Styela clava: one gene and its partner. The protein of the gene in region 2 interacts with the protein of the main gene of each other region in a biochemical or structural test. Links are inferred from orthologs where the notes say so. Each region holds a gene or a part of one and is shown on either strand. Other genes may lie near its edges. The genes, in order: ubiquitin-conjugating enzyme E2 J2-like and E3 ubiquitin-protein ligase MARCHF6-like.

Evidence for each region.
Region 1: the proteins of E3 ubiquitin-protein ligase MARCHF6-like (region 2) and ubiquitin-conjugating enzyme E2 J2-like form a complex in vitro, tested with the Homo sapiens proteins (2 studies listed by BioGRID, with this or other methods). The link is inferred for Styela clava from reciprocal best matches to the Homo sapiens genes MARCHF6 and UBE2J2.

What each region holds. Positions count from the first base shown.
Region 1 is NC_135261.1:15,004,141-15,021,538, forward strand, and holds ubiquitin-conjugating enzyme E2 J2-like, read right to left. Parts: upstream 7,242-17,398; 5' UTR 7,216-7,241; coding exon 6,526-7,215; 3' UTR 4,808-6,525; downstream 1-4,807. Other genes in the region: ubiquitin-associated domain-containing protein 2-like, read right to left, coding at 1,055-1,255, 1,524-1,646, 2,026-2,127, 2,788-2,956, 3,173-3,264, 3,852-3,971, 4,062-4,189, 4,711-4,732; uncharacterized protein LOC120329411, read right to left, coding at 7,762-9,714. UniProt on the Homo sapiens protein: Catalyzes the covalent attachment of ubiquitin to other proteins. Seems to function in the selective degradation of misfolded membrane proteins from the endoplasmic reticulum (ERAD).
Region 2 is NC_135262.1:12,199,088-12,215,471, forward strand, and holds E3 ubiquitin-protein ligase MARCHF6-like, read left to right. Parts: upstream 1-7,394; 5' UTR 7,395-7,532; coding exon 7,533-10,265; 3' UTR 10,266-12,218; downstream 12,219-16,384. Other genes in the region: uncharacterized protein LOC120332569, read left to right, coding at 308-490; FSD1-like protein, read left to right, coding at 12,246-13,844. UniProt on the Homo sapiens protein: Endoplasmic reticulum membrane-associated E3 ubiquitin ligase that plays a critical role in mitigating endoplasmic reticulum stress, the regulation of cholesterol and lipid homeostasis, and ferroptosis.

The DNA of each region.
Region 1 (17,398 bases), on a different chromosome or scaffold from region 2:
TGCATTAGTAGCAGGGGTTTTGTACAGAAGATCCGAAGAGAAAATGTTCTTAAATTCTTCATGATCCAGACATCAGCACATATATATTCAAACTGCAAAGCGACGTTTTGGTCGCCTCATGTTTTATTTAGGATTTGCAAAACATAATCTTAGCAACCTCTGAAAGGATTTCAGATTGGGGTTATACTCCGTTAAAGCATGTTTAATATAACTGGGGTAAGGAAAACTCATCTCCCCCACGTCAGTTGTCTACTGTAAACGATTGGATCGGTACAGGTACGGCGGTGCCCGTACTACTTTGGGGGGATGTGTTTGAGCATTGCTTTCTAGTTTTCACATCTTTACACCTCGTTTTGCTTTTCTTACAAGTTGCGAAACGGAAACATAGATACCGGTAAATTTGCCAGTTGCTGTATGAAAGCAAATACCGTATCTTATCTTGTAAAAAATTTCGAGGCACCTAGAGCGTCAAATGTTTGTAGACTAGGTCGATGTGATTTATAGCCAACTTGGAGCAAAATGTGGAAAAACTCATTATCATCAGAACACCATAGTATATAAAACACATTCTAGCATGTCGCAATAGTATTAGAGATACCCAGACCCCCCAAAGTACGATAAAATGAACTCCAGATAATTCCTCAGAACCGAAAATGACATTTTGCAACGACTTATATTCAAAAAAGAAAAACACAATGCTGTCAGCATAAAATAAATATTTAATTTTTAATAAACAAATGACAATATGAGAGAAACGAACTAAAAATACATTAATATGCTATTTCGACAAATAAGAATAATACCACATCGGGATTTCATTTAACATCAAAGTAAACGGCGTGTTTGAAGTAAAATATAACACCAAGTCCTTCATAACATGATTCATATAAAGAATATCCAATTATTCATGAAAAAGCGATTGGTTCTTTATAACTAAACAAAGCTACAGCCCACATTGACACCAAAATATATGAATCAATGGCTGTGTCACCAGGCAAACTCACAATGAATTTGACAACACAAACAATGCAAATTGGCCAAATTCTACCCAACATTATCGTAACAACATGGCTGCCGCATTACCCACATCATTGCCCGACATTCTCAACGCATTTACAGCCTCTTCTCTATGAAATCCCATGTCGATAAGTTGCCCAATAGATTCTTCGCTAAGTACTGCTTGGGGTTGAACATTGTGATTTGGTTGATTTGCAATACCAATTCGACGGAACAAAGCAGGAATATTTGTTCCCACCTGACAATTATATTCAGATATTTATAACACACAAATATATATACCGTAAAAAACGGTACCAGTACTCCCATAGTATGTGAACCAAGATGCAGACACTGGAACGTAATGTGTACCAGCTACCAGGTTAGTGTTGGGCCACAATTTTATTCCATGTTAGTTCAGCAATTAAAGGGAAAACTGAAGTTTTTGCTTCAGCAACAATTTATAGACACGATCAACATTAACAGATCTACGTCAGGTTTAGTTTGTTATCAGCAGAAATACATACTTGGCGATGTCTTGCTTGCATTCGATTTTGTATAATTGTACGTTCAATTTCATCAAGTCGCATTTGTCTTTGTACAGACAAAGTCGCACCAATTAATCCGTATGTTGGCTTTGTAGAACCCAACTAAAATATGGGAAAGATATTTAACAACAGGATCATATATTCAGCGGATTGAAAAGTTCGAGCTCTGCGGATTAGGAGGCTGTATTTCATAACTCTAAAAAGTGGAAATTTGGTCAAAAAAATCTCGCTGTCTTAGAGACAGAATCGGAATTAAAATATTTTCAACCTAGGATAGCGTAGTCATTCTATAAGCCAGTTATGTGTCATACCAAACATTTCTATCTACAGACTCTCCGGCAAAAACTAATATGATTGAACAAATTTTACAGATCATTATAATATATATGGTGGATCAAGGTGCTTGTCTACAAGGTAGATAGATTTGATACAATCTTGGGCTATGTGCATCTAGATTTTAATAAACCCTGATTCTACTTACCAACATTTCTAAATAGTTTTCTGTGGTTTTTCGAAATGTATCTGGTAATGATAAAAAACTTCCAACATACAAAATATTATAATAGTAAATGAGTCCAGAAATCTGAATGTAAAACAAACTTTCACTATATACATTTATATACTTTTTTATAAATTTATGACAAAATAAAAAATTATTTAATTAAGGATTTTGGAAGCACGCAAACAGCAGTGCAAGTCAAGGTTAGATCTGATAATCAACAGCAAAACAAGGCATGGTTCATAAACAAGCTGTGCTTGAAAGGAAATTTGGTTGAAGACGAATTTACATAGCAACAAATAGGATAGAAATGGTCCTGCACCTTCCCTCCAGGGCTGTGAAGCAGGAGAAAATTTACAATCTACTCCAGGTTGTAAAAAACTCTTAGAGAAAATCAAATTTTGATAACAAAAACTTCAGCATATGCAAGCCTTTTTTAATTGTCTGGTAAGAGCGCTTAGTTAAACTATTAGTTTTAGTAGGAAGTTTGGACATTATAAGCCTGCAATCTGGCTCAGTCTCCAGATAATTCAGAATTTTACCTAAACTCTCGACACGACATCAAGGAGTTTAAAAATACAATTCAGGTTCAGACTCCAGTGAAAATATACAAAATTTATTTTATCCCACCCCACTCGGAAACAATTTCATCTGCAAGAGTAATAATCACTCTATTTATATCATACATTTGGTTGATTCGTACAGTATTATGCATTAACCCATTACAGTTCACTATATACTTACCAAACCGAGTCCACAAACAGGATATCTTGTTTCATCAGTAGCAATAATCTGGACCACCAGACCATAATGAAGTATTTTTTGAGTAATCCTAATTGGGCCAAATCGAGCCTGTTCAATTCCAGGTATATCATGATAATAAAACACCAAGAGAGCATAGATGAGCCAGTACCTAAAACATGATCAAAGAATAGGTTCACGAATTTAGTCATCTTTACAAATACAACCGGACATAATTTCAAATAACCATACTGGGTTTTATTCTCCTACACAAACTCTTCAACTTATCTTGAATATCAGTCAGTAATAGAGACGCCTAGCTGTCAAATGCTTATTTAACTACGACATTGAACTGTATAAATAATAAGTATACAGATAACAAACTTGCATTCCTGATGGCAATATCTTGATCTCTTTGAAATAAGTGGTAAATGCAACTTCAAGTAATGATGTCAACAGCCAATTGCATAGAATGAAAGACTGAAAAAAGAAAAATCCAGTATAAGCTAAAAAATGGTGCAACATGTTAGGAATACGCTCACCACCGCACCTCTGATTACACTGCATTGGTTTGCAGGTGCGAATCCCATGCGGGGTTAGTTATGTGCGAGAAGATTGCTGGACTCATCGACGCTGTAGGGTGGTTCACATAACCGCTGGTCAGCTACAACTTTCTCCACCATCAAGTTCATGCTTCCAACAAATAACTGGCCAACTAATTCCATACCCAACATGAACTGGTAACCGGACGAAAAGCTGTGGTTTGCCATATGATTAAGTCGTCTTATCGGCTTCCCTCTCCCTCAAGGATAAATATGTAAATCCTATCCCTGCCCTGAGTGGCGAGAGCCTTGGGACTTCGTAACATCACAAGTTAAAAATTTCAGATTCAACTCCCATTCATGGGAGGGAATACTAAAAAGTCATTAGGTAATGACTTTTTAAGATTAGTTAATTCCTTACATACTATTAGCTACTTCTTTAATGCCTTTATTCAGTTCAAAGGCACTCAACTTTTTCCTCTGTAGAGATATTTCGCTAAAAATAGTACAAAAAAATTCACCTACCATGAACTTATATGAACCGAATCTTCTTTCAAAATCTGAAAACCCGTACAATAAAATACTTCCAAAAAAGAACTCATGAGGAGTTAAAAATATAAATTTTCCTGTCAGAAGCCTCCAAAGCTAAAAAAAAAATTTGTGAACACATTAATACAAAAGGTATGTTAGATACAAAGAGGGCGCTTTATTTATAATCATCACATTCATGCATACCTCAAATTTATTTAAAATCTTTGATATATCGTAAACAAAGAAATTTTTATATTCATGAAGTAATGTGTTGACAGCAACATATGTTGTAAAATACATCACGAGAAGACATTTCGATATTGTGCGTTTATCTGTAAAAACAAAAGATTATTGTTAATAATGATGAGGCTGAAAAATTCATGTATTTAATAAATAGAGATTGCTTTTGATATTACTCGCTTCATCGGAAGTTGCGATTTTAATTCTATTTAATTTTTTACCATTAATAATTTTTTTAATATTTCGAACAAATCACCGTTAATTTCTAATATTAATTTGAAAATTTCCAGATGAATTTTAAAGTTTAGTGAAAAAATATGTACGGTAAGTCGTATATCATAGTTTTGAGTAAACCTTTCGAAACTGCATTTGGGCTTATGTTAGTGGTGATGTTAAAAACCTCAATGACTGCAGAGCCTGAGCCTAGCTCCAAGGTAAAGAATAAAGCTTGAGCTGGGGTTGGAGCCATTGCAATTTAATTTAAATCAGCTCCTCCATGCCATGTACTAAATATGAAATATGCATCATTAGGATAATTCATTGTATCGAGAAAATATTTTATTTTGAAATAGCGATATGTGTACTAGTCAAAAGGTAACAATGTCATACTCACAGAATCCAAGATTCTCATTCATAGTGAATCTTTGGATGTTAATATTCAAGTTGAAGAGCTCAGTCCATGGATTTGAATAGATGACAAAATTTGAAGACTAATGTTTTACATAATGACATAATATGATACAAACGCAAAATATAAGATAATGAAATAAAAGATTCGCACAGAATTTGAAGGTTTGAAAAAAACAAATGTGGACATACAAGACAAATCATGTGGTGTGGACATACAAGAAAATCACAAAACCTGCAATCAATGGTCACTAGATTGAAAATTCAACAAAATTTTCCCTTTTTGTTTTTTGCACTTCACAAACACAGAAACAAACTCTTATAATAAACTGGCAAAAAACGTTCCCTCCCTTTCAGATTCAAAAGTATACCTACAAAAGTACCACATCCCAAAATCCCAAAGCAATTTTTAGTTCGGTTTTCAGATACATTGTCCGAATTGAAAATCAAAAACATCAAAATATGTAGAAATAAATACACATAAGAGGCATAACCAACATTGCCATTAAGGTGACGACAAAAATATTTTCCAATCAAAAAAATATTTCCTCTATATAATGTATTCACTCACGGTGCCCAATTGGAACTCATTTCAACAAAGTAAAACGATATTTACACGTATATTCTATATACAACATAGCAAACTGATTCACAGTGGAGCAAAACAGACTGTTACTATTACATTACATATGCTACTCTTACACACTCCTAGAACTGCTAATTTATTTAAAACATAACATAGAAGTCAATAGAAAAAACACTCGATTCAGGTGTACAAAAAAGTTAGCATGTATGGAAATTCAATGTATGTTAAGTAATCTAAATAATTTAACGACATTGTCAAACGGTAAACGGAAGTTAGATAAAGTTGACCAGTGAAATACATATGATTCATTATTAAATATATCGAATCCTTAATTTTTTCTGAATTGACTAGAATATCACCAATGCTGACTAATAATTGTGAGCCTTGTTGTCGTATGTAATGAATTAACCCATGGGTATGGCCATTAAAATACCTACATGTTATCTCAAGTAACAGGGTTATAATCTCAACTTTCCACAACATAATATTTATACTCCTTTTATGGATTGCCAATGAAAAATACAATACACTCGATAAATATTGTCGCAAAGCAAAAAATATGAGTGTTGAATACTCAGTTGAATAATGACCGAATTATACAAATTGCCATGATTTCATCAGGACATCGAAAAAATAAACTTACAATTGAACAATAAATGATTTGAAATTACTCCTTCAAAGATAAACAATTCCAATATGCAACATTGATGATTTTTTGTATTCCTGATGGAATTTATTGAGTGACATTTCTAAGTTTCCTCCAAATAGTGTTAGTCATATGAAACAGAGGAGTCCTATCCAATTGGTGTTGACAATATAAGTATTGGGTTGACTATTTTAAGGTTCAAAATTTCAGAATACCATATAAATTAAAAACGATATTAACGATTCATCATACCATAGTAATTATTTGTTATCTGTATTCCAGTTTCACATTGTACCTTATCGATGGAGCGTAATTAATATACATCTAATATTCAGCAATAATGTAAGCAGGCATTACAGAAGTATCCTTTGACAAGTAAATGAGCATTGCAAATTAATTCACATAAACAAGCACAGAGGTGCAGTGATTTAGGCCATCTAAGCAAAATTTTTTTTAGCACGAGTTGGCTTATTACGGGCTTACGGCTGTAATAAGTACGATACTTCGTAAGATCTATATCGTTTCTATCAAGTTAAATTTGCGATATAAACTTTTCACAAATATAATATTCATAAACTTTGAATAACGCTATTAACTGCAAGAGCAAATAGAGCAACTCCGGCAACAATAACTAAATTTACAAGATTAGATTGGTTGTCTCTCTCCCTTTCATTTGCAGCGTTTGATTGTTGTTCATTTTTTACATTAGCATTTGTTGTCTGAGATGTTGTTTGAGCATTCATACTTGCTCTAATTTCCTTGGCAACTCCTGGAAATAGTTCACAGAAAACTGAATCTTTCAAGTTGAATGGTCCACTCTGAAGTGCGAGTTGACGTTTTGTATAGTGTGATGTTTCAATAGAACCTAATGTGGCAGAATCTTCGACCATGAAACTTAACAACCCAGTTAAAATAGTTCCTACAGACCAGGCAGGATTCCAAGTATCTGGATGAAAATCACTTATCGATAAGCACAATCTTGTGTTGCATTTGAATCTTCCTGATGGGGTGATCATGTATATAGAAGGTGGGCGGAATGGGAATTCCCTCGGAAAGACTAATTTTCCATGATATATACCACCAAAATAGGGTGTGTCATTGGGTCCTAACACCAAGTAATGCCATTCAAGAATATTAGATGGCAGGGGTTCTGCAGTGACATATGGAATTGGATCTTTCTTTAACCTAAGATAGTCCTGTTTAAGTCTTTGTGTAGCCGTCGTTGGTGCACGCTGCACAGATGAGCTTTTACGAGACATATTGTTTCTGTCACTAAATATAACTTATTATAAGATACCGTAACTCCTGTAAAAACAAAAGAAAATATTGCACAAACAAATAATTAAATTCAGTAAAGGATTTACCGTGGTATTTTCAGCATCCATGCACTCTGGCGAATAGTTTTTGTGGGTAACAAAGTACGGACAAGGTGTGATAGTGACAAATTTCTCTTCATTAATAACTCCAGAATTTGTTTTTTATACAGCAGAAGCATATTTTCAAGTGGTACGTACGTACACAATTTTGCATCAAAAAATAAGTTCAAGAATGGTTCTGTGTTCTGTCATAGACGATGTTGAGGCAGAAGTTGGGTAGCAAGATTAATTAGACAGACCACTTAGGTCTTGAATTATGTTTTCAAATTTGTTATCCATACAATGTGTTTATACAACTGTGTTTGACACCAATTCATGTTTGAAAAATATTAAAATGAGTATCGTGAAAAATGTTTGTACAATTTGCATTTATGACACCAGATAGTTCAATACAAGAACATCAATAGCAAAGGTAAATTATAGCAAACGTTATCTATTTTTCCCGTAACCAAGTCCGAATTTCCCTTTTCCACTTCCTTCAGGTGCAATAGGTTCTGTAATCCCTGTTTGATATTTTCCTAGACTCTGTCCCTTATTCCAACCCATTTTCTTTAGCATTTGGTGGCCTTTGTTGTGATCGGCCAACTCTGTTTGCATTGAAGTTGGCATCTCATCTTTTTCATATGGATTATCACTGCCTAACAATCGCCTTCTTTCAGAAGCTCTATCCACATACTGCGGTTCAATACCGAATTCCGATTGCTTATATTTATCATTATGTAAATTATATTTTCTCCTAATATTCTTCAACTCAGATCGCCTTTGTTTTTCCTTTTCATTTTTTGTCAAAATTTCAACTGAATTATTGGTCTTATTTGTATCAATCATGGCTTGGATTTGACCAGGTTCACAGTCATCGCATGTATCATAACCAATATGCAGATGTAACACAAACACAGTGTTTCCTATTATTAGCACACTTTTATGTGTAATAGGGCTGGCTAGCACAGTTGTTATACCAGGATTATGTTCGGTGATAGAATTTAGAGTTGTTCCATTCTCACTCCCATAATCAGTGACAAAGTAATTTCTTTGTTGTTGGTTATAAAACACTGCTGCATGTTTTGGACTTACATCAGCTTCTTGTATTTGAATTTCACAGTTTTCACTTGAACCAAAAATTGCACCATAACGAGTAATTAAAAATAACGTACCAGATGTTAGACTTTTAGATGAAGTGACCATAGCTCGAATGCATGGAATCACATTAGTTTCTAAATCCAAGTCTGTATCATTTTCATCCAAACAATCCATTGAATAAATGACTTTTTCTTTTGAAAATTTGGAAGAATCATCACACACTAACTTAAAGTTTTCTAAGCAATGGCGTTTATTTGAATCTTCAGCTAAATCCGAAGCTTTCCGTCGTTTTCTCGACTCTGTTATACCTTCACAACAAACAGAATTAACAAAAGACAAACATTTTGGACATTTCAAAAATTTAAAAGGATGTGTTGACAATGTCTCTAGTTCAGTATCAGAGCAACTGTCTAATTCTGATATTTTTTCATCTTTTCTTGTCATTCTGTTACATACTGATTTGCCATTGATATTCATATTTAAGCATTTTTCATTCTGGCAACAACAGGTTTCCGTTATGTTAGAACATTTCCTACATACAAGATAATTTTTCCTTGTTGATTTAATGCATTCAATCTCTGAATCAGACAAACTGTAATCATGATATGGTGATCGCCCGATTTCAGTTTTGCATATTGATATACAATTTTTATTGTTTTCTGCCATCCCTTCAACTTCAGATTGGCTATTCGTAAAGTGGGAGCAAAGTTCGTTCACCTGGATTGCTTTGAGATGACTCTTCTGAGATTTTCCATATTTAAATACCGCTTTTTTCAGAGACGAAAAAAAAATTTTATCACCTATTTGCTTTCCAATAATATCATCTCTATCAATATTCGTATTTGACGTGTCATTGAAGCTCATAAGTTGATGCTGAAACTCGTATTCTTGTGAGTCCTGATTATATTTATAATAGCACCCATTTTTATAATTGTAATATAGCTTTGTGTTGGGATAGTAATATAGACTAGTGTTGTAATCAAAGTAGATACCCCTTTGTTCATCATAAACCCACCCAGCCGTGTTCATATATGAACGAGCAGTTTGGGCAATGCTTTCAGCTGTGAGTGTCTCTGCAACATTGGATGTATTTTCGTACAAGTGATTTTTGAGTTCCTCATAATCACATTCAGTTTGACAGCTTGCGTCAACAAATTCGGGATGATAAATAGTTTCTGGCATATTACATTCAAACAAACTTAGTTTTTGTTTCAAAATTGCATTCTCCTTTCTTAAATCCAATATTTCAGATCGAAGTGTGCTCAGAGCAACTGCTTTGTCACAATTACATTGAAATGACATAATTTTATAATGTGTTACAAATTTTTATATGGTTTTCATTTACCGTACCGTAAAAGCGCCTAACTTCGGACAGTTCCTAACTTCGGACAAAATTTTTGAACGGCCATATCTTGGCTAAAACGCGCCGTATATTGCTAATTTTAATTATTATAGGATGCGCTGTTATATCTACATCTATTCTCATCTTTTTTAATGTTGCATAATTATTTTTTTGGTAAAAAAACAGAAATTTTGCCGAAAATTGACTGCCCGGCATTCAACGGCGCAGAGCGTCGCTCCTACTGAAGCTATCATCGTCAAAATACCATCATTCGGTAGAGGGCGACAACAATGTATATAATTTATTTGAGTGATCGCAAGATGTCGTACGAGATTTAAATAAAACCTAAAATTCTGAATTATAAATTTCGTAAGAATATTAAGATTTCACGCAGCGTCAAAAATACGTCAACCTCACGTAGATTATTTTTCGCTCACTTCCGACACGACGTCACACTGCGTCGCGGAAATGAATTTTGACGCCAGACACAACGGAGCCAATATGACAATTTCCGTTAAGATAAAGACGGCGTTCCAATGTAATATTTTTGTATTTTGTTCGGTCATGTATGAATATATGCCAAAATTACATTAATGAAAATACATGTCACACTTAATCGATGACGTTAAAAATCGAATATATAAAACTATGATAATTCCAACGTCCATATGGCACAGTGCACTGACTTAACCATTATTTTATGATTAGTAGTCGAAATGACAGTTATTGAATACGGCCTGGGTGGATTTTATTCACTCGAAATTAAAAATAAATTTAATCTCCAACAAATAAACGGGACCTACATGTTTACAAGATTAAGTTGAATTTTAAATTAAACTTTACAATCGGATTTACCGTGTGTTTGATATAAATTATCATTTATAAAGATAACTGCACAGAATAAAAAAAAGCTATCCGCCGAGAATATTAATACTTCAAAGACTTCGATAGAAGCCCGTTAAAATACTTCATTGTGGATTGAAACGGTTTGCATCAGATATATTTACGTATGCATTTCCTGATTAAAATGACTAACGTGTTATTATACTCATCTGAAGTATTGAAAATAACGAACGAAAGATGTAAACATAGGACGACGGAAGTTTCAAATAATGCATTTTCGTCGTGACGTCAATGTTACGTTACGACGACGATCGAGCGTCTTATCTTCACGCAACGACGTGATTACGTCATCCGCATCGGAAGCCTCTTTCTCTCTGTGCGTCGCGGTTACGCAGTGAAGAAAATGACTGTCCGAAGTTAGGGCAGTGAAGGATAACGGTCAGATGGCAAGAAATATCGATTATTTCAATAGTAAAAATAGTCCAATTGAACCGAAATTTGCAGGGAATGTAAATTACCGCACGAATGTTTTACCGAGCAATTTTGGCACCGTTTGGACAATAAATGGCCGAGTTATAGACGAAAATATAGTAATTTTGTCCGAAGTTAGGCGCTTTTACGGTACCTTTGATTCACATCTAAGACAGAATAATAATATAATTTACTTTTTCAGTTCTTTTAAAAATGAAAGCCTCCTGCCCCCAAGATGACCATGACGTTATGTCATATAAAATGATTCTATTCAAAATATTATTAGCAATAGTTGAAAACTTATTTGATAAGTTGGCAGAAAAAGAGATTTCAAACTTAAGATGATAAATATTGTACTCCTTAGTCGACTAAATATCTTGTAATCTGTTCGAATCACTGAATCAGGGGGAATGGGAAATACAACTTTTCCAATAATTTCGTCTTGGGTGAGCGAACACGTACTACTTCTTTTATCAATACCTTTCCATCTAAAATCTGTACCGGTACGTTTCAAACCTTACTCTAGGTTTTGTTCGCTTTCCCGATTCTATAATCAGTTACTTTTGTTTTTATCTATTTTTTTATCGTCTTTTGCTGATTATGGAGTCGAAATATACTTATTATACTTCATTGTGAAGGTTCAATACCGTAAGACATTGCTTTAAACGGGTCTCGGGCCTCGTGTAGTTTCGTAGGTACCGTACACCACTGTGAAGCTAGTAGCACGGTGACCTTTGTATGCGACCAGGCGAAAAGTTCAAATATGGAGGCAGAATTATGGGCGGAGCCAAATTCGCTACACCAAACAAATACGCAAATGGAATTAACAACAACATTACATGGGTATTTGAGAGTTGTTGTAAGCAAAAACTGGGAATTTCATTATTAATAATAATTTTATTATATTCAGTCTGCATCTCGCCAGCCAGAGTTACTGAAAACTAATTCGTCAAAATCGACATAAGGGAATAAACGTGAAATTTCACATTTTTCATAGTACAACAGCAAGTCTTTCCGATTAAAAGGGGCGAGCTTTTATTATTGAAAAATATATTAAGATATACACTCTTCATCCCACAAGTTGAGTTGTTAGGAACCAAATTTTGCAATTATGTGCATTCCGGTACTGAAAATGCCCTATTTCGTCGAAATTTTCATAGGCGAAATAACGTAAAATTTCACATTTTTCAAATTACAACAGCAAGTCTTTCCGATTAAGAGGGGCAAGATTTTATTATTGAAAAATATAATAAGATATACACTCTTCATCCCACAAGTTGAGTTGTTGGGAACAAAATTTTGCAATTATGTGCATTCCGGTACTGAAAATGCCCTATTTCGTCGAAATTTGCATAGGCGAAATAACGTAAAATTTCACATTTTTCAAATTACAACAGCAAGTCTTTCCGATTAAGAGGGGCGAGATTTTATTATTGAAAAATATAATAAGGTATACACTCTTTATCTCACAAGTTGAGTTGTTGGGAACAAAATTTTGCAATTATGTGCATTCCGTTACTGAAAATGCCCTATTCCGTCGAAATTTGCATAGGCGAAATAGCGTAAAATTTCACATTTTTCAAATTACAACAGCAAGTCTTTCCGATTAAGAGGGGCGAGATTTTATTATTGATAATTATTTTAGTATATATACTCTTCATCCCACAAGTTGAGTTGTTGGGAACAAAATTTTGTAATCATGTGCATTCCGTTACTGAAAATGCCCTATTCCGTCGAAATTTGCATAGGCGAAATAACGTAAAATTTCACATTTTTCAAATTACAACAGCAAGTCTTTCCGATTAAGAGGGGCGAGATTTTATTATTGAAAAATATAATAAGATATACACTCTTCATCCCACAAGTTGAGTTGTTGGGAACAAAATTTTGCAATTATGTGCATTCTGTTACTGAAAATGCCCTATTCCGTCGAAATTTGCATAGGCGAAATAACGTAAAATTTCACATTTTTCAAAGTACAACAGCAAGTCTTTCCGATTAAGAGGGGCGAGATTTTATTATTGAAAAATATATTAAGATATACACTCTTCATCCCACAAGTTGAGTTGTTGGGAACAAAATCTTGTAATCATGTGCATTCCGTTACTGAAAATGCCCTATTCCGTCGAAATTTGCATAGGCGAAATAACGTAAAATTTCACATTTTTCAAATTACAACAGCATGTCTTTCCGATTAAGAGGGGCGAGATTTTATTCTTGATAATTATTTTAGTATATATACTCTTCATCCCACAAGTTGAGTTGTTGGGAACAAAATTTTGTAATCATGTGCATTCCGTTACTGAAAATGCCCTATTCCGTCGAAATTTGCATAGGCGAAATAACGTAAAATTTCACATTTTTCAAATTACAACAGCATGTCTTTCCGATTAAGAGGGGCGAGATTTTATTATTGATAAATATTTTAGTATATATACTCTTCATCCCACAAGTTGAGTTGTTGGGAACAAAATTTTGTAATCATGTGCATTCCGTTACTGAAAATGCCCTATTCCGTCGAAATTTGCATAGGCGAAATAACGTAAAATTTCACATTTTTCAAATTACAACAGCAAGTCTTTCCGATTAAGAGGGGCGAGATTTTATTATTGATAATTATTTTAGTATATATACTCTTCATCCCACAAGTTGAGTTGTTGGGAACAAAAATTTGTAATCATGTGCATTCCGTTACTGAAAATGCCCTATTCCGTCGAAATTTGCATAGGCGAAATAACGTAAAATTTCACATTTTTCGAAGTACAACAGCAAGTCTTTCCGATTAAGAGGGGCGAAATTTTATTATTGAAAAATATAATAAGATATACACTCTTCATCCCACAAGTTGAGTTGTTGGGAACAAAATTTTGCAATTATGTGCATTCTGTTACTGAAAATGCCCTATTCCGTCGAAATTTGCATAGGCGAAATAACGTAAAATTTCACATTTTTCAAAGTACAACAGCAAGTCTTTCCGATTAAGAGGGGCGAGATTTTATTATTGAAAAATATATTAAGATATACACTCTTCATCCCACAAGTTGAGTTGTTGAGAACAAAATCTTGTAATCATGTGCATTCCGTTACTGAAAATGCCCTATTCCGTCGAAATTTTCATAGGCGAAATAACGTAAAATTTCACATTTTTCAAATTACAACAGCAAGTCTTTCCGATTAAGAGGGGCGAGATTTTATTATTGAAAAATATAATAAGGTATACACTCTTTATCTCACAAGTTGAGTTGTTGGGAACAAAATTTTGCAATTATGTGCATTCCGTTACTGAACATGCCCTATTCCGTCGAAATTTGCATAGGCGAAATAACGTAAAATTTCACGTTCTTCAAATTACAACAGCAAGTCTTTCCGATAAAGAGGGGCGAGATTTTATTATTGAAAAATATAATAAAATATACACTCTTCATCCCACAAGTTGAGTTGTTGGGAACAAAATTTTGCAATTATGTGCATTCCGTTACTGAAAATGCCCTATTTCGTCGAAATTTGCATAGGCGAAATAACGTAAAATTTCACATTTTTCAAAGTACAACAGCAAGTCTTTCCGATTAAGAGGGGCGAGATTTTATTATTGATAATTATTTTAGTATATATACTCTTCATCCCACAAGTTGAGTTGTTGGGAACAAAAATTTGTAATCATGTGCATTCCGTTACTGAAAATGCCCTATTCCGTCGAAATTTGCATAGGCGAAATAACGTAAAATTTCACATTTTTCGAAGTACAACAGCAAGTCTTTCCGATTAAGAGGGGCGAAATTTTATTATTGAAAAATATAATAAGATATACACTCTTCATCCCACAAGTTGAGTTGTTGGGAACAAAATTTTGCAATTATGTGCATTCTGTTACTGAAAATGCCCTATTCCGTCGAAATTTGCATAGGCGAAATAACGTAAAATTTCACATTTTTCAAAGTACAACAGCAAGTCTTTCCGATTAAGAGGGGCGAGATTTTATTATTGAAAAATGTATTAAGATATACACTCTTCATCCCACAAGTTGAGTTGTTGAGAACAAAATCTTGTAATCATGTGCATTCCGTTACTGAAAATGCCCTATTCCGTCGAAATTTTCATAGGCGAAATAACGTAAAATTTCACATTTTTCAAATTACAACAGCAAGTCTTTCCGATTAAGAGGGGCGAGATTTTATTATTGAAAAATATAATAAGGTATACACTCTTTATCTCACAAGTTGAGTTGTTGGGAACAAAATTTTGCAATTATGTGCATTCCGTTACTGAACATGCCCTATTCCGTCGAAATTTGCATAGGCGAAATAACGTAAAATTTCACGTTCTTCAAATTACAACAGCAAGTCTTTCCGATAAAGAGGGGCGAGATTTTATTATTGAAAAATATAATAAAATATACACTCTTCATCCCACAAGTTGAGTTGTTGGGAACAAAATTTTGCAATTATGTGCATTCCGTTACTGAAAATGCCCTATTTCGTCGAAATTTGCATAGGCGAAATAACGTAAAATTTCACATTTTTCAAAGTACAACAGCAAGTCTTTCCGATTAAGAGGGGCGAGATTTTATTCTTGATAATTATTTTAGTATATATACTCTTCATCCCACAAGTTGAGTTGTTGGGAACAAAATTTTGTAATCATGTGCATTCCGTTACTGAAAATGCCCTATTCCGTCGAAATTTGCATAGGCGAAATAACGTAAAATTTCACATTTTTCAAATTACAACAGCATGTCTTTCCGATTAAGAGGGGCGAGATTTTATTATTGATAAATATTTTAGTATATATACTCTTCATCCCACAAGTTGAGTTGTTGGGAACAAAATTTTGTAATCATGTGCATTCCGTTACTGAAAATGCCCTATTCCGTCGAAATTTGCATAGGCGAAATAACGTAAAATTTCACATTTTTCAAATTACAACAGCAAGTCTTTCCGATTAAGAAGGGCGAGATTTTATTATTGATAATTATTTTAGTATATATACTCTTCATCCCACAAGTTGAATTGTTGGGAACAAAAATTTGTAATCATGTGCATTCCGTTACTGAAAATGCCCTATTCCGTCGAAATTTGCATAGGCGAAATAACGTAAAATTTCACATTTTTCAAATTACAACAGCATGTCTTTCCGATGAAGAGGGGCGAGATTTTATTATTGAAAAATATAATAAGATATACACACTTTATCTCACAAGTTGAGTTGTTGGGAACAAAATTTTGCAATTATGTGCATTCCGTTACTGAAAATGCCCTATTCCGTCGAAATTTGTATAGGCGAAATAACGTAAAATTTCACATTTTTCAAATTACAACAGCATGTCTTTCCGATTAAGAGGGGCGAGATTTTATTATTGATAAATATTTTAGTATATATTCTCTTCATCCCACAAGTTGAGTTGTTGGGAACAAAATTTTGTAATCATGTGCATTCCGTTACTGAAAATGCCCTATTCCGTCGAAATTTGCATAGGCGAAATAACGTAAAATTTCACATTTTTCAAATTACAACAGCAAGTCTTTCCGATTAAGAGGGGCGAGATTTTATTATTGAAAAATATATTAAGATATACACTCTTCATCCCACAAGTTGAGTTGTTGGGAACAAAATCTTGTAATCATGTGCATTCCGTTACTGAAAATGCCCTATTCCGTCGAAATTTGCATAGGCGAAATAACGTAAAATTTCACATTTTTCAAATTACAACAGCAAGTCTTTCCGATTAAGAGGGGCGAGATTTTATTATTGATAATTATTTTAGTATATATACTCTTCATCCCACAAGTTGAGTTGTTGGGAACAAAAATTTGTAATCATGTGCATTCCGTTACTGAAAATGCCTTATTCCGTCGAAATTTGCATAGGCGAAATAACGTAAAATTTCACATTTTTCAAATTACAACAGCTTGTCTTTCCGATTAAGGGGGGCGAGATTTTATTATTGAAAAATATAATAAGATATACACACTTTATCTCACAAGTTGAGTTGTTGGGAACAAAATTTTGCAATTATGTGCATTCCGTTACTGAAAATGCCCTATTCCGTCGAAATTTGTATAGGCGAAATAACGTAAAATTTCACATTTTTCAAATTACAACAGCATGTCTTTCCGATTAAGAGGGGCGAGATTTTATTATTGATAAATATTTTAGTATATATACTCTTCATCCCACAAGTTGAGTTGTTGGGAACAAAATTTTGTAATCATGTGCATTCCGTTACTGAAAATGCCCTATTCCGTCGAAATTTGAATAGGCGAAATAACGTAAAATTTCACATTTTTCAAATTACAACAGCAAGTCTTTCCGATTAAGAGGGGCGAGATTTTA
Region 2 (16,384 bases):
TGTGAGTTTTCTAATTGAACACCAAGAATACTAAAGCATATGGATACCGAACATTAATTTCATATTATGTGATACATCTTTTTATTCGATCTGAAATAATGTGAACTATGAACAACGCTCTAAGACCATTGTTTTAACCCGTCTGTCTTACACAGCACACCTAATCAAGTATTAATTACATAGTATCGGTATCGGAATATCGGTAATATCGGACTTTTTGTAGTATCGGCGTATCGGTATCGGCGTTTTTGACTGGTATCGGATCGGTATCGGTATCGGCGACAAAAGTGGTATCGGTACATCTCTAGTAGAAATAAGAACCAACAATCATCTGGAAGGTTGGCACCGCCATTCACCGAACTTCAGAGCCCGTGTTCGGGATTTTTTTGGATCGAGGTCGTTTCTTCGATTCGGACTTTTGCCACCGGATGAAGTCGACCCGATCGTTTCAACAGTTCATTCGATGACATCAACGATTTGCGTTGATTAATTGGAGTGAATGTCAAATATCTTTTTAGTAGCCTACGTTTATTAACCTTTCTTCTCTTGATTTTTCAATATATTTATTAGGAGCAATAAAAATGACTGAACTCCGTTGCCAGACGGTAATTGTCTGCTCCAACAAGTGCACGTTCTACATCTTTATATTGAGCTTTTGTGTGAGCAATTAGACACATGATAAAATGACCATTGTTGGTATATATACAATACATGGTGCCGATTTAGTATGTCTGTATGTGATATACCTACATGGTTCTACTTGAACTTCCAAGTGTTACATCATTGCTGACTTATTTCTAATTGGTTACGGTTAAGTGTTAAAGTAATAAATGAGGAAATCGAAGCTCGGGGAAATCCAATTGTTAAGTAGCTAGGCAATAGTCGCACGCTAAATATCGCATTTCATATAATTTTAATAATATAGCCTACACTGGACTTGAAAAGTCAAACGTGCTAGAAAAAAGCCAAAACGTTCAATTGGGCAATAAAAAGCCAATATGACAACCCTGAGCTGGAGAGCTATTAAATACGGATGTTTTCCAGAACTTTGACCCCTGAAAAACAACTTTTCTGACGTCTCAATCGCTTTGCCGGGACCGAAAAGACGATGTTGCGTTGGTTTATTAAGCAATTTCTCTTAGCCGTCATATTGTGGTTTGATAAGTGCGATAGTCTATTATTTGTCTGAGCGACCGACGCCTTGACGCCAAATGATCAAACTTTTCGCTTTGCCGGTTTCGATTCGTCCCAGAAGGGCTACGTTGAATCTCACAAGCGTCAGAAACATAAAAGTCGACAGTGGTGCATGATTGCCACCAGGTAAACTCATGTTGATAATAAATGGAGCACAACCGGTGTTAGCAAAACGATGTAATTTGCCGACGTTTCAAATTTCTATACAGAAAAACTTCATCAGGCCATAATATGGAAAGGACACAAGTGGATATATATAGAGCAAAAAAAAGAAAATAGGAAAAATATGAAAAAATAATCATGGCGTCAACTCTAATCTAAAAGGATGATAATAAGATAATATATATAAATAAACAAATTAGCGCAAGTTCAAACAAACGAGGATTATTCAAACAATGATTTATACACAGGCGGGAAAAGTGTGGTTTCTTTGAAAAAAATATCACGTTATCGACTAGGTCCTATTTAGGAAAAGGGCTTATATCAAAATATTGTTTTTAAATTAAGGTTAGGTATCATTTTAGGGAAAACATGGTGGCTGTTATTTTGGCAATATTGCCTTTGTAATTTTAATTCATAATATATGTTGTTTGGCTGATATTGCGGTATTCAAACATATATTTACTGTGCTAGTTTCGTTTTTACCTGTGTTCATTGATTTGTTTATGTTTTTATATTATCTGGTGTAATAAACCAATGACATTAAACAACATGATGCGCAACTCCGACATTTTTGTCCGAAGATCGTATTCAATAGCACGCTCCAATGCACATACTTGACGAGACGAAAACGAGCGGACGTGTGCTGCTTTCGAGGCGTAGCACGAATGGTGTTCGTGCCTGCTTTGACAGTTGTTGTCGATTTTAATGATATTTTTGAAAGTTGGGGTAAAATAAAATCGGTAAAAGGTAAGGTGAATACTATTGTTGTATATCACACCCGGGCATCGCACTGTTAGGTACATGTGGGAAAGCCAGCCTTTGTCAAATACTACGAAGTTATTAATTCAGTACGGTACGTAGTTGCCCATTTGCCGAAATTACATATTTACTTACCCCTTATGGTTTCAAATAGTTCATGCACCTCCAGTTAGATTTTTTTAATCAGTGAGGATATATACTCATTGTTGATTGCTGCTCATTGTAACATACTATTGCGCATTCACTTTTATTTGCGTATTGTATCAAAGTGTTAACAAGTTCACCTAACATTTCACTCATACCGGTCTATATTGTATAGTCTGATTTCTCAAGTATTTGGAGCCACGAATGCTTGTAAATTTCTGACTAAACCCTTTTTATTAGTTGGTTTATATACCAAATTCAGTAAAATATTTTTTACTTAAAACATGAGATATTGGATTTATTAGCTTTTCCATTCTAAATCATATAGACTGCTTTATTTATTCTTAACGAAAATTAATAAATCTCCTCTCTTTCTTCAGATGTGAAAGTTGTGGACAAACCTGTCTAAGCATTGTGAGACTCTTGCAGTACAAGAGACAATAGCAGAAATAGTAAGTATATCAATCAAGAAATTAAGCCGACATAAAGCAAAACTTTCAACTATTCGTCTAATCTCAATTTCCTATTATTTATTCACAGGACAACTATAGCAGACGGGGAGATATCAGAAGTCTGGCGACATATCAGTGACAGTGTGATTCCAAGAAATATAATGTTTGCAATAGAAAAACAACCTATGGAGGCATGCAAAGACATTTGACCCTCCGGTAGAGTTGTTTATGGCCCCCGCATCCTGCAGGGCTTGAGGGAAATAACTAAAAATTCCAAAGCGTAAGATTGCATAAGCGGTCTTATTTGTAAAAAGGCACAAAACACGCCAGACATACTTAAAACAGCTTTGGAAATGAGGATTACGGGTACCTCACTGCACCTGTGTTATATTTGGTTCATCAACTTTTGGTAGTACTATAGAAGAAATTCCGGAAGGGGTATAATCATCATTCATGATAAAATACTATCATATATTTTTTGAACAACTTCAATCTAGACCAGGGATCTCAAACTCGCGGCCCCAGAGAACTTCCAGTGCGGCTCTCGAACGCTTAACAATAATTGTAATAGTATTTTGGAAGTTTTTTTTTTATCTAAATGTAATAGATTTTTCAAACCTTCTAAAGTGAAATTGATTTTTCACACAGAAAACAATTTACTGAAAGTAGTTTTGGAATATTAATTTGTTTTGTCCACATTTTGACCCAATTAAGAATACACATCAAGCTAGCAAAAGAATACTTGAATAAAACACTTGAGTAATTAAATTAAACGCAAAGTACATGAAGAAAGTGGCATTTTCGAAGAAAATGGGAGTTGTAACATTTCTGCTCTTCACAAAATTCTGAAGCACATTGTTTAATTTGTCATATTCCCATCAATACAATCAAAAAACACAATAAGCTCAGCAGTCAATATGACAAATTCGAAGACCAACTTCGAACAGAAAATTTCCATGTGTTTGTATATTAATATAATTATACAACGACTTAGTTACTAAAAATCAATATCAATAATAATTCAAGCAATCCTATGCCACGCAATGTAGTGCAAATGTCTTGTCGAAAAAATCTGTCATTTGTTTTTTTACTGATCTATACATGAAATGATAAAAGTAACTTTTTTGCATTACTGGAATTAATTAAACATTCGTAAAGATCCAGATAAACCCATGATCATGTGGCCTCGTTAGTTAGAGTTGGTACTATAAAATCATTTCGAACTGGCCTTAGTATGCTGGTGGCACAAAAAAGATGCCAAACGCCAGGACAAATGTAATTATTAAAACATTGAGTTTAAACTGTAGTATTTTTGTTAATTTTAGGTTCATATATTTAGATTAAGTTATTTTTAGTGTATGTATTCTTCTTTCTTTATTCAAAGCTTGTTCAAAAATGATTTTGATGGTTGTACATAGAATTTTACGATTTTTTATAATAAATACTGTAACTTGCAAATGTTGCAATAATAGTGGAATGCAAATATTAATATGTAATTGCATTTGAAATTGAAGAAAATAATAAAACTTAATCCAACTGTTTAGTTGCATCACAATATATGTCACAAACTAAAACTATCTTAAAAATATCTTTTAAGTATACATTATCAAAAACTGTTTGCGGCTCTTTTTACAATTTTCAAAATGCAATGCGGCTCTCGAAAACCCATGAGTTTGACACCACTGATCTATTCTAGACGATTCAAGCATTGCTTTGGGAAATTATATCACTTCAATTAAATTGAAATAATCTCGCTATATGAAATACAAAATCGTTGCTATCATAAAGGTAAACCAATTCAGCCACTCGAAATATATTGGCCTTCACAAAGCAATGGAGGCAAAATTGAGAGTTCATGAGCTATGAACATTTGTTCTTTTCTTTGTCTTGAACTTTTCATACTCCATAGCCCCTATTAATTTTTTTAATTTTAATTACCATGTGATGGTCATACATATCTTTAACTTGTATTTTCTGTCATGATGTATTATCTCAATGTGCCAAACTATTAATTAGTGTGCATATTTTGCTTCCAGATGACATAAATGTATTGTCATGTTTATTACCTCAGCTTGGAGTATTGACAAGAAAAAGGTGCCAGTAAATTAGGTAAAAAAATTTTCAATTCATTGTTATAATCAGAATTCACAATCAATAGGAATTATAAACAGCCAACAATCAGTGAGAATTATATGCGAAATCCCGCAGAATAAATTTGTCTAAAATCGGAGGAAGGCAAAAAATATAGGTAGTTTCCATCCACACAAGCATTTCAAGAAGACTTGCTCGAGCCAAACTAAATGAGCATCGTCAGGTGATCGGTAAGGCTGCAAGTTGAATTCAGCCCTGCAACCTCCTGCATAGAAGATAATATTAATTAGTGGGCTATGAGCTAAATTCCTAAATTTAAACAAACCTATCTACGATGCATTATGTACCAGCAATGTTACCTACGATTAACTGAATATATAATATGTCTAATAAATTCACCTACAAAAGCAAGTTCGATAGGTGCAAACTTTGTGTTATGGAATTGTATCGCAGCACAGTTTTGTATGACACCCTCTTTAAATGAAATTTCAATGATTAAGCGCAAACATTAAAATTACTAACTTTGAACTTTGTCATTATCGGCAAAATGTTCCACACAAATCTTTCCGCTATCGCGTTTGTAATCTTCTCTGATAAAAAAAAAACGTCTATGATGTCCAGAATTGCTCTTTACAGCTTGCCTGTTATTCCAGCTTTCCAAGTAAGCAAAACTTCTTAGATATAGAGATTATTTTGTTTCGTTACAGGCGCAAAAAGGCAGGTACTACACGTAAAAAAGACGCCGAGTAGCAAAAGCGAGCGGAAAACGGACGCGAAAGGCGACGAGAAATATGTGCATTGGAGCGTATCATGAAATATAATGTTTCGCCTGTAGTCTTATGGAGTGACGTCAGAGTTGCCTATCATGTTGTTTAATGTCATTGAATAAACTAATTGAATTGAATATCTGTCTGATCATCGGCACAAATTTCAATTGTTACCTCATTATTGACTTCATCCTGATTGGGAAATAAGCAGAAAAGACAATACTTAGGTAAACATTATTTTCCTATTTCCTGAGTCATTTCAATTTATTGTCAGAAATTTTTTGTCGCCTTAAACAGTTCGTAACTCACTTCATCCTGACCTAAACCTATCCATCCCCATGGCTACCTCGATTGATGTTGCCCTGGTGTCTCTCTCGTTTCCGTGGGACCATTTGAAAGCTCTCTCGTTTCGACGATAGACTTTCAACTTTTCCGAGGCGCGTAATGGATTTCCGATTGGATTTGACATGAAATCAATCATTTGCGTTGATTTTTCTCGCATATTCTCCTGATCTTGATTCGTTTCTCATCATGTATCAAACGCTAGTATATCCCAGCCCACCATAAGGTGCTAATTTTGGCAGTTTTATATATTTGCGAAAGTCGTGGTTAATATTACGGCCAACCAATGACATTAAACAATGTTGTTTAATGTCATTGGGCAAACGTATCAGTCAAAAACACCCACAAAATATTAGCCAAGATGGCTTATCGGAATCGCTTCCCCACCTGTATTTGGCCTTATTTTTTGTATTTGCGTATTTTCTCAATATCATTGCGTGACCTGGTTCCGTAGTACCCGAGCTGTACATATAAATAGAACTAAAGAGCTCTCCATAAGTGTGTGTACCAATATGAAGACAACTAATATTGTTCGCCTACTCTACACCAAGTTGTGTAAAGGGACAGAAACCTATGGGCACAGGATATATTCACTTGGCTAACACGCACACACAATCCCCGAACTCGTAATAGAACTAGAATAAGAAAAATCTGAATCAAAATGGGCACTCGCAGTATATTATAGAAATATGATATTTGTGGTGATCAATCAATCAATCGATATTAGAAAATAGACAATTATATTTCATTCGATTGGTAAATATTTGTCCATTTTATAAAACTGGAAATCCACGCCAGGAGTTGAAAATAATTAACCAAATATGACCGTATATAGCCGTATCGCTATCATCCAGTCATTTACCGAAAACTGTTTATGTGTTGTTTTATTATTATTATTATTTGTATCATCATGTTTCTGGTTTGACGAAAATATAAATTCTCTCTCTTCATTCCCTTACCGACACCTTGTGGTTAATAAACCTTGCCTTCTGCTTCTAGCGTTTTGTGGAAAGGCTTACGAACAGACTATCGCTCCTTCGCAAAAAGCTTTGGAGGTTGTAGACTATGTCAGTATGTAGGCGACACTACAGTACCGGTACCTGTAAGCTAGCTTAACAATTTGTTTTACATCACACTGATTCCTTTCACCAAATTTCAATAAAAAATATTAATCTGCGAATTGTTCAGTTAGAGATTTTTTGAGATTAATGATTTTTTAGGCAGAACTGGGACAGGCGGCAGGGCAGCAATCACAAGCTGACAAACACAAAATGGATTGTGCTTGCGTGCATTTTTATGCAAACTGTTACCCAAGAAATAGGGAGGTCGCATTTCTGAGATACTTTCATGACGTTATTGTGACAGTACAACACCCACCAAAATGGAAGAGTACGGTAATCATTTTCGATGATAATATACGACAACGTGTCGAAAGATAATACACGACTTATTCAATAACTAGCGAGCAATTGAAAAAACCTTCCTCTAATTTTATTATTCTGATTCATTTTTGTAGAATGACAAAATAGTTCTTTCTGAATCTTCAATAAAATAGCTGCTATTCCAGTCTATATCTATGTTGGGAATTATTTAAAACAAGTCTCAGATAGATCAGAAAACCATGGCCTCTGTCGAAGAGAGCGATTATATTTGTCGTGTATGTAGATCTGAAGGTTCCCAAGACAAACCACTTTATCATCCATGTATTTGTACTGGAAGTATACGATATGTACATCAGGACTGTTTGGTACAATGGCTTCGCCACAGCAAAAAAGAATATTGTGAATTGTGCAAGCATAAGTATTCGTTCAAGCCAATTTATAGTGCTGATATGCCCACTCGTCTGCCAGTAACTGACCTCGTGTATGGGTTATTCCGCAGCATATTCATGGCTGTAAGATCATGGTTGCATTATACCTTGGTAGCGGTGGCTTGGTTAGGTATTGTCCCCCTAACCGCTTGTCGAATTTATAAATGTCTTTTTACCGGATCGGTAAGATCTTTACTGAGCTTACCAATGGATATGCTTTCTACTGAAAATGTAGGACAGGATATTTTATGTGGATCATTGGTCGTGGCTTGCACGATGGCTTCTTTCATCGGATTAGTGTGGCTTCGCGAACAAATCATGAATGGTGGCATGCCAGGCTGGCTAAATAGAAACGGTCCTGATAACGTCGCTGTAGCTCCGAATGCAGAAGTTGCGATAAATGATGATAACAATAACATAGAACATGGAGTCCCGAATGCTGAAGATATTGTTGAACAAGAAGAGGATGAATCGGATGATTCTGAAGACATAGATGAGGAGGAGGAAGATGCGGAACCAGAAGAGATTCAGCTGGATGGTGCTGAAGTTGAAGATCTGGAGGAAAATGAAGTGGATGTACAAAATGAAGGAGATGATGGCAATTGGAATGCACTTGAATGGGATAGAGCTGCGGAAGAATTAACGTGGGAAAGAATGTTGGGACTCGATGGATCTCTAGTTTTTCTCGAGCATGTATTCTGGGTTGTTTCACTCAACACTCTTTTCATTCTTGTATTTGCATTTTGTCCGTATCATCTTGGACATTTTGTTCTTGCAGCGGTTGACCTTGATGTTTACCTCGTTGCTTCACGATTCGAAGGATTCCTCACCACTTTATTCGGATACGTTATTTTGACCGTGGCATTTTTTGTGTGTCATGCTGCTATGTTTTTGTTGAAAATGCAACGATCTGGAAGAGTTCTTGGGATTTTGTATATTGTATTGAAAGTAGCTCTGCTAGTTATGTTTGAAATGGGTGTTTTCCCACTTGTATGTGGATGGTGGTTGGACATTTGCTCACTACAGCTTTTTAATACAACTGTTCAAGAAAGAGTTACTAATTACATAAATTCACCTGGAACGTCGACTTTTTTCCATTGGTTATTAGGAATGATTTATATATTTTACACAGCTTCATTCATGCTGCTTTTAAAAGAAGTTTTGCGTCCTGGCGCATTATGGTTCCTACGCAATTTAAACGATCCGGATTTCAACCCGATTCAAGAAATGATCCACTTACCATTGTACAGACATATTCGAAGATTTTTACTTTCAGTCGTTATATTTGGATCTGCAGTTCTAATGATGATTTATTTGCCAGTGCAAATGATACTTCGTTATTCACCCAACTTTCTACCATATCATGTTAATTTACGTAAAGATGTTCCAATCAGTGATTTATCTCTTGAACTTATCCTACTGCAAGTTATCATACCTGCTTTACTAGAGCAAGGCCAGACAAGGCAATGGTTGAAATCAATAATAAAGATTTGGGCGAAAGTTGTTGGTACTTTACTAGGTGTAAAGTCATATCTTCTTGGTGATACTGACGGCGATGCCAGAGCTCAAAATGAAAATCAAATTCAACCTCAACGGGCGGTAAATAATAATGATGAAAATCAAGAAGAAGTTCCAGTTGTGCCATTTCAGCAGCAAAATTTACACCCAGAACCACAACAGATGGCTTTAGATGGCGAGATACATCAACCCTATACTCGCCCAAATTATTTTGTGACTAGAATTGTGCTTTTGCTACTTTTAATGTGTGCAACGCTTTCATTGATCAGCCTTACAGTAATGGTCGTACCTGTGGGAATTGGACGATATTTATTTAGTTTGTGGTTAGGTACTGAAAATGCTAATTTTATACATGATTTATATCCTACAGCTTTGGGGTTATATACATGCTGGCTGATGGGACATTTGGTAAACTTATCAATGGTATGGTTTCCTCGGGGTTCAAGAGCGATTTGGTCAGAGTGTAAAACATTGATTAAAATGATTTCTAAAATTGCGATTGTTGGGGGTTTTGTTTTTGGATTATTTCCACTATTGTTCGGATTGCTTTTTGAGCTGGTAATCGTAATTCCATTGAGAGTACCTTTACACCAATCTCCTCTTAATTTTCTTTGGCAAGATTGGGTGCTTGGAATTCTTTTAGTTAAGTTAGCAGTTGCTTTAACCTTGCTCGGCCCCCAATGGAAAATAAGAATTGCTATAGAGAGGGTCTTTCATCAAGGACCTAGAAATTTCAGTCTTCGTGATATGTACGTTGATGTTATTCATCCCATTATGTGTAGTCTTTTATTATCTTTAACTGTGCCATATGTGATTGCTCATTCGGCCACATATGTTTTAGGTTTGCCACACGATTTTTCAAATATTTTATTACGTCGTATATATCCTTGTCTCATTTCCTTTTTTGCACTAGTTTCTTTTCTCATGTTTGAAGCGAAGCAGTTTCGTCGATTGTGCGATCATATCAAAAATGAACGTTATCTTGTTGGGAAAAGATTACTCAATTACGAGCCTGCTAAAGCCTAAATAATTTTAATTTGATATCAATTTGTTATTATTGAATAAAAAAAATTTTTTTTGGAAACTGGTTTCCAGTTTAACTCAATTGTTGTGAGTTTTTTCTGCTGCTTCATTTTATTGCAATAATTTCATGATTTTTACAGCTTATTGTATAACTGTGTTTTTTGTCTGTTATTCTTCTGTGTTTTTGTTTTGCCTCCATATAGTATTGCACTTATCTGGAGATTAATAATTTTCTAATAGAAATGAATGAACTGCCTTATGTTTGGTAAATCTAACAAGTTTTAGAAGTATCGTGCTTGGAAACCATGGATAGTTAGTCTATTAATGAAAACCATAAAAGAAACTTCCTCATTTTTTGTAAAAAAAAATTGGAAAACGTTTGTAAAAGGAACTCAAATGATAGTGTAACATAAACTTCTGTGTAAAGAAGTGTTCAAGATGATTCAGCTGAAATGGAATTTGAATTGCTTAATGAATAATTAAGACTTCGTTAGAACTGAGTATAAAAATTACTATTGTTTTTGTTAAATTGACTTTTTTAGGGATAAATTTGGCATATAGCAGTTTTTTCCCAACAAAATTTTGTTACATATTCACTGTTCAAATTAAATCAAATTTTCGAATCAATTCAAAATTAATTATATTTGGGATTTTAAGTTCTTGGTTTTAGAATTAATTAAGGATAGTAAATTTCGAAAAAGCTATTGAGAAATTTAAGTCTCACAGGCCTTATTTTAAAGTTATAAAAATTTTTAAGATATAGAAAATCAATTGAAACTTTTTTGTTTTTCCATATTTGAACACATTGAATATGAATCAACTTCAACATGTTCTCTGTTAAATATACTTATCTAATTTAAAATATATTCAATATCTGAATTACAGTGGTAGATTATTTGGGTTCGGCCATCTCCGCATTACACTGCATGATATTTCCATTGTTTCATTCAAAGAGAATTATATATTTTCTTATGTTAATTACCTGCCTTCGTAGTCTAAAATAAGCCTGATCTTTCTTCAATAGATGATTGATCTGTCTCATCAATTTTGTGAACTGCTTTCTCGTTGTACTGGGAAATTCAATATAGTACCATATCTAATATAGTACTCTAAATTATCAATTATTTTACAATATTTTCATCAATAATATGTTATTGTCGCATCCACAAGCAAGAATTGGACTATTGAAGAGATTAGGCAGATTATAACAAACATTGGTACAACAGGAAAACCAGATAAAATATCTGTTATTTGCTCTACATTTCTGCCTTTAAATTCAGTCCCCATAGTATTCACACTGATTTGTATAAATTTTGAATGCTTCTCAGATGTGAAAATCTTTTTTTTTCAGAAGATTATTCAAATTAGTAAATTTCACATGGCTTTTGGCCAGCCTCACAAGCTTGCAGTGTCAATAACTTATTATTATGTATCTATAATCAGATGTGTTTGTGCTTATTTGTATTTCTTGACTGGGATTTATTGTTCATTGCTTCGTTTGGCATTAACTGTATTGAAAAAGTGTGTTTGAAATGAATGACAATAAGTATTTATCATTCCTAAAGGAAGACCATCTTGCACATATTTGAATAATCGTTGGCATATTAGGATGTTTCTGAAGAATACGATTTCCCCGTTTCAATATTGCCTATCCTATTATTTGCACTTTTTTGAGGTGGTGGACATGGGATTTGAAGATAGAGATATGTAACCTGTGAACGTGACACAGTTAAGTCTCTAACTCTAACCACTAGGCAATCGTGCGCAGAAAAAATATGGAAGGTAAAATAATCACATCTCAATAATTGTATTTTATGAACTTTATTGCTTAATATTATTTGTGCTTGATATTTCTCTCACATTTTCACTTTTGGTAAAAGGATGCTGTTGATAAAAATGTCGTAATACTGTACAGTGTATAATATATATTTGAATTTTCTTTTGCTCATACTTAGATACTACCATATTATTAATATTACTTATATGATGGATAAACAAAAAGAAGCATTGGTGAGAATTACTGGAACTGTACAAACAAAATATGAAGAAGTGGATAGATATGCACGGGAACTTCATTCAAAAATTGACACACTCGAAAATTGTTACAAAGATTCGATTTTAGAACTGGACGAGCAATTCCAGATGTTGGCAGAAAGTCTCGAAAGAGCTCGAACTCGAATGATGTCTGAGATTGAAACTGAATTAGCAGAGAAAATGAAACCGTTGCAAGAGCATTTACAAACTTTCGAATCAGCAAAACATGATGCTGAAGATCTAATTGCAATGTCCAATGAGGCCCTAGATTTGACAGCACCCGATCAATTCTCACAAGCCGCTCTTCGTATTAAAGAGCGTGTAACAATGTCTCCTATATTTCGGCTTTCGCTGTGCCCGTTTGATGATAATGCAGAACCAGAATGCTTCTTTTATGCTGATTTCGCTAGGGAACAAAACGTTTTGAATCAGCTGAAATTTCTACCTATTCCAAGCCAACCCGAAATTGTTAAAGCCGGATGTTTTGCGGAAAACAATATCGTTCATTGCCTATGGACAATTTTGGAAGAAGAAGACAATTTTTTATCTGCTGATATGCCGATAAGTTTATGCAGCGAACAAACAGATCGTCTTCACCTGCCTTCTTCTATCAATTATTTCGTCGTACAATATCGACAGGTTCGAACTAGCGGAGAAAATATTCCATGGATCACTATTGAATGTGTTCGTTCAATGCAATGTGATATAAAAGGGTTAATATTTCATCAACCTTTTCTTGAGTTCCGTGTGCAGGCTTGGAATAAGGCAATGGGGGGTACATGGAGTAAAGTAGGGTCAATCTCTACTCCAGCTTTTCATTTTGCTCTCAATCCAGACGCCTCCCATCCAAATCTTAAAGTGATTTCAGATGATGTTGTGGAATGGGACGCTTCGTCAAATAAAGTTTCTCAAGATAATAGAATAAAAAGTGCTAGCATGACTCGCTCGCCGTCTCCGGCGAAAGGTGTAACCTCATCTTCTCCTAGAAGAGCTAAACCTAAAGATCGCTTCACTGGAGAGTCTTACACTGTACTTGCTGACACAGCATTTAGTGACGAAGAAGCTTATTTTGAGGTTTCACCTCATCCTGACTGCAAAACGTATTCTGTAGGAATAACCTTGAAATCGCTTGCCAGATTTGATCAACTGGGAAAAACAGCAACATCATGGTGTATACATATCAGCAGCTGGATTCAGAATACATTCGTTGCGAAACATAACAATAAAGTTAAAAATCTAGATTCATCAGGTCAAACACCAAATAGATATGGAGTCTACTTCAATCTTTCTACTGGAATATTGTCTTTTTATAATGCCGAAACACGTCGACACATTCATACGTTCAAGCAAGTAAAATGCAATGGCCCGATTGTTCCAGGATTTCTTATGTGGTTCGGATCTTTAGAGGTATTTACTGGGATTCAAGTTCCATCGTGGATTGTCACACGACCTTCAACTTCTCTCAATATCAAATCTGATTCAAGTTCGACAAAATCAAATTCACCTGTGAATCCAGCAAGTCCAGAGGAAAAGTCATCTTTGAAATAAGTTTGTGTTTTCTTCCCCTATTTCTCACATAAAATTCACTTATGAAGATTAATAATTCGTATATTGCATGAATTTTGTTGTTGTTTATATTTAGGAAATATGACAAAATAATAATATAATATAGTGAAAAGACTGAGTAGAAGAGAAATATAGCTTGAGTATAAAAATGGGAAGCTGATAAATGATTTTATTATTTACCGTACATCTCCACTTATTATTAATAATGCTTTATTTTCAATATTATGGTGCAAATGCATAAAACTTTTTTGAATTTCGTTTTTATTGGTGCCCTCAAGTTTCAAGATGTAGTGTTACTTTATCCTTTATGTTGTAAATAATAAATCTGTTATGAAATTCCATATTAGACTAGTGAAAAGTGTTATTTTGTAGTAAGCTATCTCGTAGTTCCTTCATTTTTTATTTTTCGTGGCTCCATTTTTTATTCTCAAATTTATCTCATATTGAAATACTGATAAAATTTGCTATGTTATCAGATCAACTCTAAATCATGCTGCTTATAGTAGAGAGAGGTTGCTCATGATAGTTATCTCCTTCCATATCTGAACATTTACTTCTTGGTATTTTCAGATTTTAATAATAATTTTGAATTGAAATATTCTAAATTGGTAAATGTAAAGCAAAAATTGTTGTATCTTGCAATAAGATTTGATATAAAAAATTGTATTTCCAAAAAAAAAATTTTTTTTGGGAGAGTTACCGTAATATTCAAACATCTGAATTGAAAAATAAACTTTTTTAATGACATTAATTCACATTTTTGAAAGTTTAAGTTATTCGGATTTTATACACAAATATTTCGGTACAAATTTATCACTGTTTTTATCAATTTCATCAACAAAAGGTCAGTGCAAATATATTTATTTATAAAAAATAAAGCTGTGATCAAGCAATAATATAATAAGTAATACTGTACTAATAAACTTCACTGAGAATTATTGTAATTAACTTTAACTTTTTAGTAACATATATTATATTTTTCGCATTACCTAATCGAAATAAAATTGTTCGAAATGCTTCTCTGCACAATTAAGTGTATTATTCATCAGTTTTGTGCAATTTTTTATCAACTTGTGTTGCAATTGAACTGTTGTGAATTGTGATTGTATTTTATTATTCACCATGATAAATGAATACACAAATAAGCTTTTATGAGCTACATCAGTAATTAGCTTTTAAATTTATTTATATCATTCCTATGACCACTTATTATCACACTATAGTGGTTATAAATCTATGGATCATGACACAAATTGGCCTAAAATTAAAAATAGGTGGTTTTGTGAAATAATGATAATGTAATAGATGTTAGTTATACCTTAATTTTTAATTCGAAAAACCTGTCAGTGTAACTTTTCACTTATTTCATATTTTTATTTTTTTGTAGCTTTTGCCTGGTGACTTCTTTGTATTTAATCTCTATTGTTCAATGTTAGTATAAAACATTCCTAGTGTTATCTTTACTCAATAAGTCAGGGCAATGTAATTTTAGTCATGAATCATGTAGCGAGCATTGACGTCTTTTTCAGGCATATGATAAAGAACAACTTAGTAAGGGTTCTGAACCTTGTAACATTTGAAATATTTTTTTGTTATATACCGTATGCTCAAACATGATATATTGATGCCAGGCCAAAGTTTTTTTTTGACTGGGATGTTTTTTTTAATGAAAACATTCCTTGTTATACTATGTGCTATATGATATTGTTAGCTAGTTGTTCACTGTGATGGTATATATGGGTATACTCGTCGTATATGTAGTGAGCCTGGAGTATTTAATGGGTTAAAATTATATTTGGATGTATCTATTTGCTTTACTTAATATACTTAATAATATCTATGTAGTTTCCAGTTGGACCACAATATCAATGTCAAACAAATAGTTTGATATGATACTATTGGATTGACTAACATTCTACGTTTATTTTAAGAGTTATTAATAAGAGTATTCTGATCATGATGAATTAGAAAAAAACTTATTATTTTACTTTTTATGTATTATATAATTTGAACAGATTTAAAATATATATTGTCAATGCTGTAAAGTTATACTATTTACTTGTTACTGGAAATAGTCAAAAAATTTTCTTATATGTTGAAACTTAATGTTTATTGTTTTTTTGTTGTTCATCCCAGATACATTAAAATTAAACATCATAAAAATAAACTAGGTTACACATTAAGAAAGCTGTATGAAGTTCTGGAGTAGATGAAGATTATTTATTAAATACACCAAGGGTGGATATTGTTTTATACTTATTATTCGCAATTCATGGAATTTTAACATTTTATTTATTAATTTCTGTAATAGTTTTATTGATGGGTTCGGTACCTGCTTGTTAGTTCAGTAAAATCGACTCTAAAAATGGCTTCTGGAGGTCATGATGCAGCAGATAGTATTCCAACACCACGAAGCATGGATGATCCGAAAATCCAAGGACCAAACTCGAAGAAACCCATAATGAATAGGACTTTTAGTGGAGAACAAGAAACAAGTTCACACGAACATTATGAAAAAAGTA